Callithrix jacchus: one gene and its partners. The protein of the gene in region 1 purifies or fractionates together with the protein of each later gene. This does not show direct contact. Links are inferred from orthologs where the notes say so. Each region holds a gene or a part of one and is shown in the gene's direction. Other genes may lie near its edges.

Region 1 (3,646 bases):
TATTTCAGGGCACCATTTTAGGTGCATTCTCCTAAGTGGTTGTGGTTGTTGTCATTGTTTTTTTTTTTCTTGCTCTGTCATCTAGCCTGAAGTGCAGTGGTGCAATCCCAGTTAACTGTCACCTTGAACTCCTGGGCTCAAGCAGTCTTCTCACCTCAGCCTCCTGGATAACTGGGACCACAGGCGTGCCTGATTTTTTATTTTTCCTAAGCAAACTAAAAAAAAAAGAAAAAGTCTCAAGAGTTGAATATGCTGATAGTAATTATGTGTAACTTAATTGTTCATATTTCAAAATTGGATTTTTGTTCTCTAGCTGCCAGTCATATCTTATATTTGTGGCTTTTTTTTTGGCGGGGGGTGGGGGCTGTCTTCCTTGTTCTGAGATGACTGGCGTGTGGTGTTCTGTCAGGCCAGGATTCTCTCTCCCTGCCATCAGAGCCCGCCCAGAAGCTGCCTTTCTCAGACAGCCTGTCCACGGCCACCGTCCTGGGCCCCGCTGCTCACTCACAGCACTCGGCTGAGCTGCCTTCAGCCCACCCTCCACTGGCCCCTTTCTCCTCACTCCAAAGTCAGGACTCCCTTTTGTTTTGTATGGTGCTTTGTATTACACTTTTCAAGGCTCTTTCATGTATATATTCTCTTATTTCATCCTCCAGACAATCCCATGAGGTTGGTAGAACAGAGATTTTCATCTCCGTTTTAACTGAGGTGAGGCTGGGAGAGTGTCCGCATGGCATGTACCCTCATTCCTTTGCCCTGGGGCTCCCAGAGCTACTTGTTACCACTCAGGTCCAGACTTCCACATGTACAAGGTTTTGAGTTTGCTCAAACACGCCTGTAATTTTGAGGTCCTCTTTTCTACTCATTATTTATATTTGTTATTGCAAAGTCAAACATTAGACTACTTGGTTCAGTGTCCCAGGCCTCTTTGGAAGAAAGAAATCTTCAGAACCTGAGGGGGCGGTCAGTAGAGAACTAGAGCCGGGAGCCCCAGAGGGCCACGCAGGGTGAGCTGGGTGTCTTGAGGGACAAGTTCTGTTTCAGGGTTAGTTGTCTCCACCTGAGATTTTCAGACAAGAGTGGGAGGGGATGGGTTTCCCTTATATTTCACAATAAAAGCTCAGCATATTGGGATGACACAGAACATTTCTCATGAAGAAAAGAATTCTTCTTGAAAGGAGGGAGGGCACATTGAAAAATTTCTTTACACTCAAGTGAGAAATCATTTGCTTTTGACTCTCTTTCCCCATCCCCTTAATGGTCAAACAGACTGGTTCCAAATCCAGTCCTGCCACTTACTAGGTAGGTATGGTGACAATTGGTCAAGGTATTAACTTCCCTAACCTTGTTTTCTCATCTGTAAAATGGGTAAAATATTGTCCACTTTGGAGCATTATTTTTAGGGTCAAAGATGATGCATGTAAAGCACCTTGATTATGACCTCGATAAGTGAGTGTTCCCTGACACCTAATTCAGAAGCGGGATCTTGACCCAGGAGGAGCCAGTGTATAGCGTGGGCTCCAGCAGCGGCTCTTAGACTTGAGCAGGCAACGGCATCACCTGGAAGGCTCTTTAAACTACGGCTGGCTGGCCCTACTCCCTCCCATACTCCCTCCCATAGTTTCTGATTCATTTAGTCTGGAGTAAGGTTTGAGATTTCGCATTGCTAAGTTTCCACATGCTGCTGCTGCTTCTGGTTTGGGGACTATACTTTGAGAGCCACGGGGCTGCAGGTGACTGGCCAGTGGACATTTAGGTGCTAAAGACGCGCTTGGAAACTGAGCTCTTATGTGGCTCCTCTGTTAGATACTGATTGAAACGCATTTTGAAAATACTGAATTTAGTATCTCAAGGATATTTCCTGCTGAAGTGTTACATATATTTGAGGGAGAATAAGTTGTGAAAGTAACAGTTTTATTATAGATAGTCTGATGATATCTAGTTGGCTAAGGTATGTGAAAGTGCTTTCATAAAATGTAAGATGAATGTTAAGTCACAACTGAAAAAATATTTTAAATAACTTCATTTTTAAGATTAAACACCATATTGGAGTATAAAATAGCATAACTTAGATTTCTCATCTCAATGTGCTGTTTACTATATGTATTTTTCTCTTTCTCCTCCAGGCTGCTGACTTGAGTAAACCAATAGATAAAAGGATATACAAAGGAACACAGCCTACTTGTCATGACTTCAACCACCTAACAGCCACAGCAGAAAGTGTCTCTCTCCTAGTGGGCTTTTCTGCAGGCCAAGTCCAGCTTATAGACCCAATCAAAAAAGAAACTAGCAAACTTTTTAATGAGGAAGTAAGTAGCACCCTGTCTTAGCTGTTAAGGATCCCTTTAGGAATTGGTGCGTTCTTACCAAGGGTAGTGGGCCTTATTTTGCACTTCAGGCTAAGCCCATTTTCTATTCGCTCAGCTCTCCTCCCTAGTATACCCAGGTTTAAATGTGGTGGATTAATTTGTTGACCTTACCTGTTCCCTTGGGGTAACTGTTTTGTGCATTTTTATGGAGCATGCTCAGGTGTCTGTAACAGGTGTTTAAAAACTCTTCTGCAGTGGAGTTAGGGACAGTACTGTAACTTGGTATTTATAATTTAGGAAAATGTAGAATTCCAAACTTGCTTCACATCACCGAACATTTCATGCAGATCAAAGAACTTGATAACATTTCCTTAGGTGGCTTAAATTGTAGCTAAAGCTTCCGTATGTATGTTTGACAGGCACTGGGCTAAGGAGTACTTCACTTGCTCTTGAAAAATAGTTGCTGTAAACCCACCTTTGACGTAGTTAGAAATCCTGGCACTTAAATTTGGGTCACATGACGTGGCTTTTGCCAGTGTTGTAGTATGTCCTGGGGTTTCAAGAGTTTGAGATATCTGAGCTGTCTGTCCAGGAACATGTCAGGACTGTTGAATGTGGCATATAGAAATTGCCAAATAGATGATGTTTTTAAAAGCTGTTGGAGCATCTTTTAGCCTCAGCTATTGCTATTTCATATTTAATGTTCTTCCTCCTCTGTTTCAGTATGACTTTTCTCCCAAATGGAAAAGATAAGGTAGGCTTGCTGATTTAGAAGCCCTGGGTTCCAATCTCTACTTGGGACCTCACCCCCAATGTGCAAGTGTCGGGCTATGTAGGACCCCTCCCTTAGAAAGGATAAGTGCTTTTGCATTGTTGCAGGGTTTTAACATCATCAACTTGGAACAAAAACACATTATAGAGTATGGTTTTTAAGAAATAATTTTGTTTGGGGAGGAAAATTCAACTTGACAAATGGCAGTTAAAATTTGGATTCTTTGGCAGTCATGGTATTTGCTACATGCAAATTCAGTGTCCACCCAGGTCCTCCTATTTGACATTGCCAGCGGATTTGATGAGATCTCATGAGCCATGCCGCCTCTTCTAGTGTCCTGAGTTGACTGAGAACAAAACTTGTCATCTGGACTGACAGACTGTAGAGGAAAAGTATTTAATTCCATTTCCATTAAAAAGTGTTAAGCAGAAAATATTTTATTTACCTAGATGTTTTATTAATATCATCTGAGGAAGTGATTCTTAAATAGCTAGATGATTATTTTTTTGATGCTGGGTCGGGGGACAGCACACACAATTGGCCTCCTCTGCACTGTTAGCAGAAA
Region 2 (4,322 bases), on another chromosome or scaffold:
GTATTATCTAGACATACATTTAGTCTGAACAAGGCAAACTGAAGCAATGGATAATAGGTGATATATATATATATATATATATATATTACATCTATATGTGTGTGTGTGTGTGTGTGTGTTTGGAGACAGGGTCTCTCTGTGTGCAGGCTGGAGTGCAGTGGTGTGATCTCAGCTCAGTGCAAGCTCTGCCTCCTGGGTCCAAGCGATTCTCATGCCTCCACTTCCTAAGTGGCTGGGATTACAGGCGTGCACCACCCTGCCCAGCTCATTTTTTATATTTTTAGTAGAGACAGGGTTTTGCTATGTTGGTCAGGGTGGTCTCGAACTCCTGGCCTCAAGTAATCCGTCTGCCTCGGCCTCCTATAGTGCTGGGATTACAGTTCTTCAAAGGTCAAGAAATTACTGTTTTGTGCTGTTTAACTCCTTATAAATTGCTTGAAGATTCAACACCCTCTGTACGAGAGGAAGCCCTAAAAATCCACAAGTCTAGAAGCCTTCCTAGGAAAATTTAGGAGGAATTGACAGAGTACTTTCTGAGAAACCGAATGAATCTTCAATTTAGAACTTCAGAATTATAATGGCTACTATGAATCGCCGGTCTACAATAGGCACTTCGTATTCACTAAATCTTCATCATAACTATTTGGCAGATTTTAATCTCTATCTGACAGCTTAAAAACCAAAGGCTTAGATTAAGTAACTTGCACAGAGGTATAGCTCTAAAGAAGGGCAAAGCCAAGATCTGGAATCAGGCTGGCTGACTCCAAATTTGGCCGACTGGCCACAAAACTACCATCACTGCAAGAAAGAAAGAAAGAAAGAAAAAGAACAAAAGGAAAATAAGGTAACTTTGAAAAGTTTTTTTTTTCTGAATTATCCTTGCAAATAAATCATAAAAGGCTCACAGGCCATATTACTGCTTGAAGCAGAGCGCCAAATGCTCATCTCTTTGCTCCATGAAGAGGAACGGGATTAAAACGTGGCTGGGAGGGGAGTACGATGTCGTGTTGAATTTGCTTAAGAAGGTCGCACGCATCTCTGATAAAGAAAAGACCTTGTCAAGGTGAATATTCTCAACAGTTCGTTCAACGGATTGGCAAGTGAGGGAAGTTACAAGAGCCACCCTGGGCGGAGGGCACCGTCCTGGCACAATTCACAGGTGCAGGCGCCACCTGCCCCTTCCTCCTGCGGGTTTCTTAGAGGGCCGGGACAGCAGCAGATACCCCTTCTTGCGCCGTAGTCCTCCAAGCCTAGGGCGGCGGGCAGCGGAGGCTCCACACCCTGAGGTGGCGCCAGGTTCCGCTACGCGAGCTTCGGCCTCCTGGCGGCAGGGACGAGGCTCCGCGGCGCCCGGGCCACAAGGCGCCCGCAGCTACGCAGGTTCAGCGGGGCTGCGGGAGGGGCGGGGCTGGCGGGCCGCCGGAGGGGCGGGGCCGCCGGCCGCTCGCGCGCGCCGCCGAGGTTCCGCACGCCGTCGCGCCGGCCGGGCGTCCCTGTCCAGCCTCGGCCGCCCATGGGGGAGGTGGAGCCGGGGCCCGCGGGCCCGCTGGAGCCCCCGGAGCCGCCCGAAGCGCCCGCGAGTCGCCGGCCGGGAGGGATCCGGGTCTTGAAGGTGAGGCGGGCGGGCGGACGGGTGAACAAGCGGGCGGGCGGGCTGGCTAGGGAGGGAACACAGGAGGAGGGTAGAGGCCGCTGCCGCTGCCGCCCCCGCCCCGTGCGGGGGCTGAGGTAGCCAGTGACCCCCGCCCCCCGGCTTCAGTCAGTCGGCCGCCCCATACCCGGCCGGGGACGCCGAGGCCTCTGCGCCGCGCCCCCGCCCAGGCCTCGGTCCCCCACCGCTGCTCATCCCTGGCCGCGCGCCGCCCGCCTCGCAGGCCCACGCCTTCGGACTGCCGGCAGCCGCCGCCCACCCGGACCCTTAGTCGCTCCGGGCTGGCCTCTGCCTGCCTAGCCGCGCTCGGGACCCGGAGGCCGGCTTCGGGGGGCTAGAGGGCCGCCGGCTCCTGGCACTGGAGCGGGGCTGGAAGTACGCAGGGCTTTCTCCCCTCCCGGACACCTGAAGACATCACCTCAGCAGGAGGATGGCGGCGGCGATTGGCCGGCGCCGCGGTGGGCTCCGGGCCCTGCCGGGTGGAGCCGGCTCCTCCGCCCTCGGGGCTCGCTACTCGAGGTGCGGCCGGGAAGGACGACCCGCCCCGCTTGGAGCGAGAATCCCCGCTGGAGCTGCGTCGCGGGGACTCGCTGGGCGTGTTGCAGGAGGGAGGAGGGGCCGGGCCGAAAGGGGCATTCCTGCTCGCGGGAGCGGGGCCGACTGCCCAGGGAGACGGAATGGGGGAGCCGTTATGCAACAGGCAGCTAGCGGGGCTTCTCGGCAGGAATTGGGGGAGTGGGAGGATATGAAAACAGATGCAGGCAAGAGGGGAGTGGAACCTTGAAGGTGATGACAAGTAAGTTTGGTGGGGCGGCGATAGTGGGGAGAAGATGGTTAAAGGGAGGGGTTGTGGGAGGCTGACTGGGTGGAGTTTTTTACTGGCATTTGTAAGAGTTGCAGAGAAATTTTTCTGTAGGTCAAATATGTAAACTAGGTGTCCTTCCAGAGGTGGAATGGAATTCCTTCTAGAGTTCTGCATGAGGAATGCAGGATATGAAACTTGCCCGGTAGAAGGATGGAAAGGAAAGAAAATTTAGATTTGATGTGTTTCAAAAATACATTGCAAAATAATGAAAACATATGATGTTAAAAATACATTAAATAATAGTTTATTGGGATTGAGTTTGAGCAATACTTACATGTTATGAAGGTTGTTAGTATGATGTCCCAAAGATGGGAATGTGGAAAAAATAATAGAACATAGTGAATCTATGGAACAACATAAACTAGAACTCTGTAAAATATAGAACATTTTTTTGTGCTACTGCCTCTCAATTTTAATTAATTTATTTATTTGAGACAGAATTTCGGCTCTGTTGCCTAGGCTGGAGTGCAGTGACTCAGTCGCTGCAACCTCTCCCTCCAGGTTTCAAGCGATTCTCCTGCCTCAGCCTCCTGGGTAGCTGGGATTACCGGCGCGTGCCAGCATGCCCAACCGGTTTTTTGTATTTAGTAGAGACGAGGTTTCGCTATGTTGACCAGGCTGGTCTTGAACTCCTGGTCTCCGGTGATCCCCCCGCCTTGACCTCCCAAAGTCCTCGGATTACAGGCATGGGCCACCGTGTCCGGCCTCGCACACAAATTTTCTTGAGTAGCTGAGTGGTTGAATTTTGTGCCAAGTGATGTTGGAAAAAAAAGTAGTACAGTATTTGGTCAGTGTGGGGCTGAAAGAAAAAAAAGAAAAAAAAAGTAGTACAGTAGAAGATTCTCTGAATTGGAAACAGTCATCCCGCACTCATTGTGCTTTTTTTTTTTCTTTAAAAGACGGGGTTTCACCATGTTGGTCAGGCTGGTCTTGAACTCCCGGCCTCAGGTGATCCTCCTGCCTTGGCCTCCAAAGTGCTTGGATTACAGGTGTGAACCACCACACCCAGCCTCCCGCTCATTGTTTTCCGAAGATCCTTCAAAAACTTCATTCTTTTTTGTTACTCTTTTATACCTGATACCAAATCATGAACATCATTATTGTCAAATAATACAGATATTCTTCAAAAAGGCAAATATAATAAAGTCAGCATAACTTAGATGAGATCTAGTTCCACCTATCCTGGGATATTGGAAAATTTCCTTCAAAGTATGCTCCCAACTTATTTAGTGCATTGCAGAAGCATAGGTTTGTAAATTTTCCAGATGTTTTGTATGATTTTGGGTTTTTTTTTTTTTTTTTTTTTTAAAGATGGGGTTTCACCATGATGGCCAGGCTGGTCTTGAACTCCTGACCTCAGTTGATCCACCCACCTCAGCCTCCCAAAGTGCTAGGATTACAGGTGTGAGCCACCGCGCCCGGCTCTTTAATGCTTTTTAACTTAGCTTATAGAAGATATGAAGTTATAACTAATGTAGTCATTGTGTGCCATGAGATTCATTTTTTGGGGGGTGTTTAACAAAGTATGTATAAACAATTAATGCCAAACAAATTTAAAAAGATTATTTTTTAGAGACATGGCCTCATTCTTTCACCCAGGCTGGCGTGCAGTGGTGTGATCATAGCTCCTGAGCTCAAGTACCTCAGGCTTCCAAGCAGCTAGGACTGTAGGCACATGCTTCTCTAATTTTTATTTTTGTAGAGATGGGGTCTTGCTTTTTGGTCTCGAACTCCTGGCCTCAGATGGTCCTCTTACCTTGGGCTCCCAGAGCACTGGGACTACAGGCATGAGCCACTGCCCCCAGC
Region 3 (3,646 bases), on another chromosome or scaffold:
TAGGGAAACCTTAAAATAAATAAGCATTGTCCTGGGCCTGGAGCAGGAAGATGAGTGGACTCAGCACGCAAGTGTGGTTGCCTTGCAGGTTGTGTGTCGCAGCACTGTCGGTGAATAACTTCTGCGACAATCGCGAAGCCCTGTATGGTGTGTTTGATGGAGACCGGAACGTCGAGGTGCCCTACCTTCTCCAGTGCACCATGAGTGACATTTTGGCTGAAGAGCTGCAAAAAACAAAAAATGAAGAAGAATACATGGTCAATACATTCATTGTCATGCAAAGGTAAAATTCAGAGTTCCAGCTTACCTGCTGTGTGTTTTCTTGCTCTTTAAGTATTTATCTTCTGTTTAGAAAAGCAGGCGCACAATGATCTCCAAGCCTTGTTTTTTGACTACGAGTACCAAGATGCATTCAGGCAAGTTTGGTGTTGCCCAGGCGTTAGGAATGGTGCTCCAGCTTGAGACACACTGTTGTTCAGACAATGACAGGGAGTGAGGAACTGGACCTCACTAGCCTGTATTGACTGCAGATTTTCATCAGATTGTTTGCAATACCATTTCTCCTCCTAAATCATGTGAGCTCTAGAGGCTTTTTAGACTTTCTGGTGTGGGGACCTCTCTTTGAAGTGGACAATTTCCATCCTAGTTTATTGGCCCTTATGAAATATTGTCACTGGTTTGAGATAGTGCAAACTTTTGTGAAATCGAGATTGTCAGATTTTAGGCCAGGAGTTAAATCATTCTTTGTATGTTGTTTTCCCCTTTGTTAAACGTTCAAGACAAAGATTACTGGCAGAATCCTAGGTTTCTGGAGTTTCCACCAGCAGCAGAGCTTTAGGTTGCTGTACAAATTTTGGAATATTGTTTCTAACTCTTAGAGGAATGAGGATTCCCTCATTCAAAGAATTGTTCATTCTTATCACCTTCATGGCTTTCTAGGTGATAATGGAATTGCCTGTCTATAAATATTGTACTGCAGACTCGCTCGTGTGGGACCCAGGAGTGATGAGTGTACTGGTACTTGAGGTCATGAGAGCAACCATTGTTTTTTGTCCTCCTCTGCTTTCTCCCCCTTGACATTGCCAGAGCAAGTAGCTTTGTTGGAGGGGTAGAAGTGTCTGCTGAGGAGTGGTCAGAGCAGCCTTTACAGTTATACCCGTGTCATGCATGGTTCCTCTCAGAGAGCTTGGGGGAGGCAGGCCTGGGGTGGTTCTTGCTGCTACACTCATTGCTGTCTTTCAGATTCTCGGTGAGCATGAACAGTTAGCAACTGAACAATAATAGCTAATATCTAGCAAGGCCTTACTGTGTATCACTCATTGTTCTCAATACCTTAAGTATCATAAATTGTTACTAGTTAGCCAGGTGAAGTTACTGAAAGTGAGGTACAGAGAGTTGAAGCACAGTGCCTAAGGGACAGTAGGTAGAGCAGCCAGGACCTGACCTTGGGTAGTAAGACTCCAGAGGATGTTCTGACTAGCAGGCACACCAGCTTTCCTGTTTTCACTACTTTTGTTCTCGAAAAACAGCACACATGTATCACATGTGTGCACACACACCGCAGCACAAACACATCTCTCTGCAACTCCCAAGAGGCCTGCTTTTTATGGACTATCAAGCACTGGATAAGAATTTAAAACCGAGAGCCCTAATCTCAGATTACTTGCTATACGTTTTATGAACCACTGTGCCTATGAAAGGGAGAAAGTAGAGCCTCCTTGGAAGGGCCGAGAGCCACATATCTGGAAGTTAGAGTTTAGGATCCTAAACTATGGGCCCTTCTCCAGTGTCTTTTGTATGTCTCTTATTTTGCCTGTCTGTTAAGAGGGTATGGGATGTGTGGTGAGCTTTTGGTCCTTAGGGGAACTGGTCTTTGTGCAGGATCTCCTAATGCATGCAAGTAGGCAGCCCTGGTTTCCATTGCTTCTCTTGCCGCTTGCTTACCTTAGACACAGGATAGAAGAGACGGTACCTGAGGGTCTGCCCATGTAAAACAGGAGAGGCTATGTTGTTTAACTTTCTTGCTCTACCATCCAGGAACAGCAGGGGCCTGGGTCGTGTTACCATTTGTGCAGCTTGCCATAGTTCTTGAGGCCATGGGAGCAATCATAGTCTTTTATCCCTCTCTGCTATTTCTCTCCCTTGACAATCTGCCAGAAGAAGTAGCTTTGTAAAAGAGGTTTTTGATTTTTAATTTTCAGAATTTGCAGGTGCTTTCTGTATTTGGAAAGTCTACGGATTGTCATGATTAAAAGGATAAATCAGAAGCACTTGGGGATCACTAGAATGTTCTTTCTATGAGTTTTCTAAAATAGATGGTATTGGTCCAGAAAGTCTTTGCTATATAGGGCAGGACCATGAACACTCCAGTGCTTAAAGGCTCCTACCAGCAAACATCCATATAAAAGGGGGAGAGGGTTGTCAGGTTTTTCTGAAGTGTCTGTCAGTGGGTGCAGGATGTTTATACCTGCTCTTATGTACATGGTTTTTTCAGTGTTCCTCTCCTGGGCACAGAGGGAGTTTAGAGAAGCAGATGGAGAAAGAAGTCATTTTCCTGCTGTCTTTGGAATGCGCTGATCAGGCATTGTGGTTGATGAGGGTAGCGTGCTGTACACAGCAGTCCAGGGGCTCCTGCCTTCCAGAGCAGCACCCGTGGCTTTTACTGGGACAGTGACACTGTCTCCCAGTTGTGAGCCTCTCTGTGGGGATGTGTGTGATGTCAGATTCAGGGGCTCTTTTCCTCAGAGAGGCTGAGCAGTGTGATCTTTGAGGAAGGAGGCGGAGTGGACTCTCCAGCTGTCGCATTTCTGGCCCTGTCCACTGGTGCAGTCTTCCTGTGGAATTGGCAGAACTGGCACTGATGGACGGTGTTTGTCACCCCTTCTCTTCCGATTCCAGGAAACTTGGAACTGCTGGGCAGAAGCTCGGAGGTGCTGCTGTCCTTTGTCATATCAAGCATGACCCTGTGGACCCAGGAGGATCCTTCACCTTGACCTCTGCTAATGTGGGCAAGTGCCAAACAGTTCTCTGTCGAAATGGAAAGCCACTGCCCCTGTCCAGATCTTACATCATGAGCTGTGAAGAAGAGCTGAAGAGGATTAAGCAGCACAAGGCCATTATCACTGAGGTGAGGAGGGAGGGGTCTTCCCAGGATGGTGGAGAGGAGAGGAGACCAGGTCATAGCAGAAACTAGCTAAGGAGCATTTGCCTTCAAAGAACATTTTTGAAGTAGGTTCAACATTAGAATTCCAAATCCATAGTATCACAAAGCGAATTGCTTACATTACGACATCTGGTTCTCAGTTGCCTCCCTGTGTCAGGCACTGTGCTTCATGGACACGACCCCACTCCATCCGTGCAGCCACTCTGCAAAGTGTGCATCCACGGCTGCTTCGGTGGTTGAGGGCTCTACCCGACATCACCCTGCTCGTTTTCATATCTTAGCTCTGCCATGTGCAGGCTATGACCTTTAAACCTCTCTAAGCCTCGTCTATCTATCCTGTCTGACAAGGCTGCTATGACTTGTAAACTGTGAATGTAACTAGTTGTTATTTTGGTTCATACCTCATGTTCCATTTGAGTACACAGTGAGCAGTTCTCAACTGGGGGCAGTTTGCTTCCCCACAAGACATTTTTCAACATAGGG

What was found.
Region 2: the proteins of WDR20 (region 1) and PHLPP2 purify together in Homo sapiens (affinity purification with mass spectrometry; 4 studies listed by BioGRID and IntAct, with this or other methods). This does not show direct contact. The link is inferred for Callithrix jacchus from reciprocal best matches to the Homo sapiens genes WDR20 and PHLPP2.
Region 3: the proteins of WDR20 (region 1) and PHLPP1 purify together in Homo sapiens (affinity purification with mass spectrometry; 4 studies listed by BioGRID and IntAct, with this or other methods). This does not show direct contact. The link is inferred for Callithrix jacchus from reciprocal best matches to the Homo sapiens genes WDR20 and PHLPP1.

What each region holds. Positions count from the first base shown.
Region 1 is NC_133509.1:137,130,074-137,133,719, forward strand, and holds part of WDR20 (WD repeat-containing protein 20), read left to right. Parts: intron 1-656; coding exon of another isoform or gene 657-708; intron 709-2,126; coding exon 2,127-2,309; intron 2,310-3,032; coding exon of another isoform or gene 3,033-3,063; intron 3,064-3,646. UniProt on the Homo sapiens protein: Regulator of deubiquitinating complexes. Activates deubiquitinating activity of complexes containing USP12. Anchors at the base of the ubiquitin-contacting loop of USP12 and remotely modulates the catalytic center of the enzyme.
Region 2 is NC_133521.1:30,185,509-30,189,830, forward strand, and holds the start of PHLPP2 (PH domain leucine-rich repeat-containing protein phosphatase 2), read left to right. Parts: upstream 1-1,495; 5' UTR 1,496-1,513; coding exon 1,514-1,612; intron 1,613-1,757; exon of another isoform or gene 1,758-2,170; intron 2,171-2,313; exon of another isoform or gene 2,314-2,447; intron 2,448-4,322. UniProt on the Homo sapiens protein: Protein phosphatase involved in regulation of Akt and PKC signaling.
Region 3 is NC_133514.1:105,926,636-105,930,281, forward strand, and holds part of PHLPP1 (PH domain leucine-rich repeat-containing protein phosphatase 1), read left to right. Parts: intron 1-88; coding exon 89-283; intron 284-2,898; coding exon 2,899-3,127; intron 3,128-3,646. UniProt on the Homo sapiens protein: Protein phosphatase involved in regulation of Akt and PKC signaling.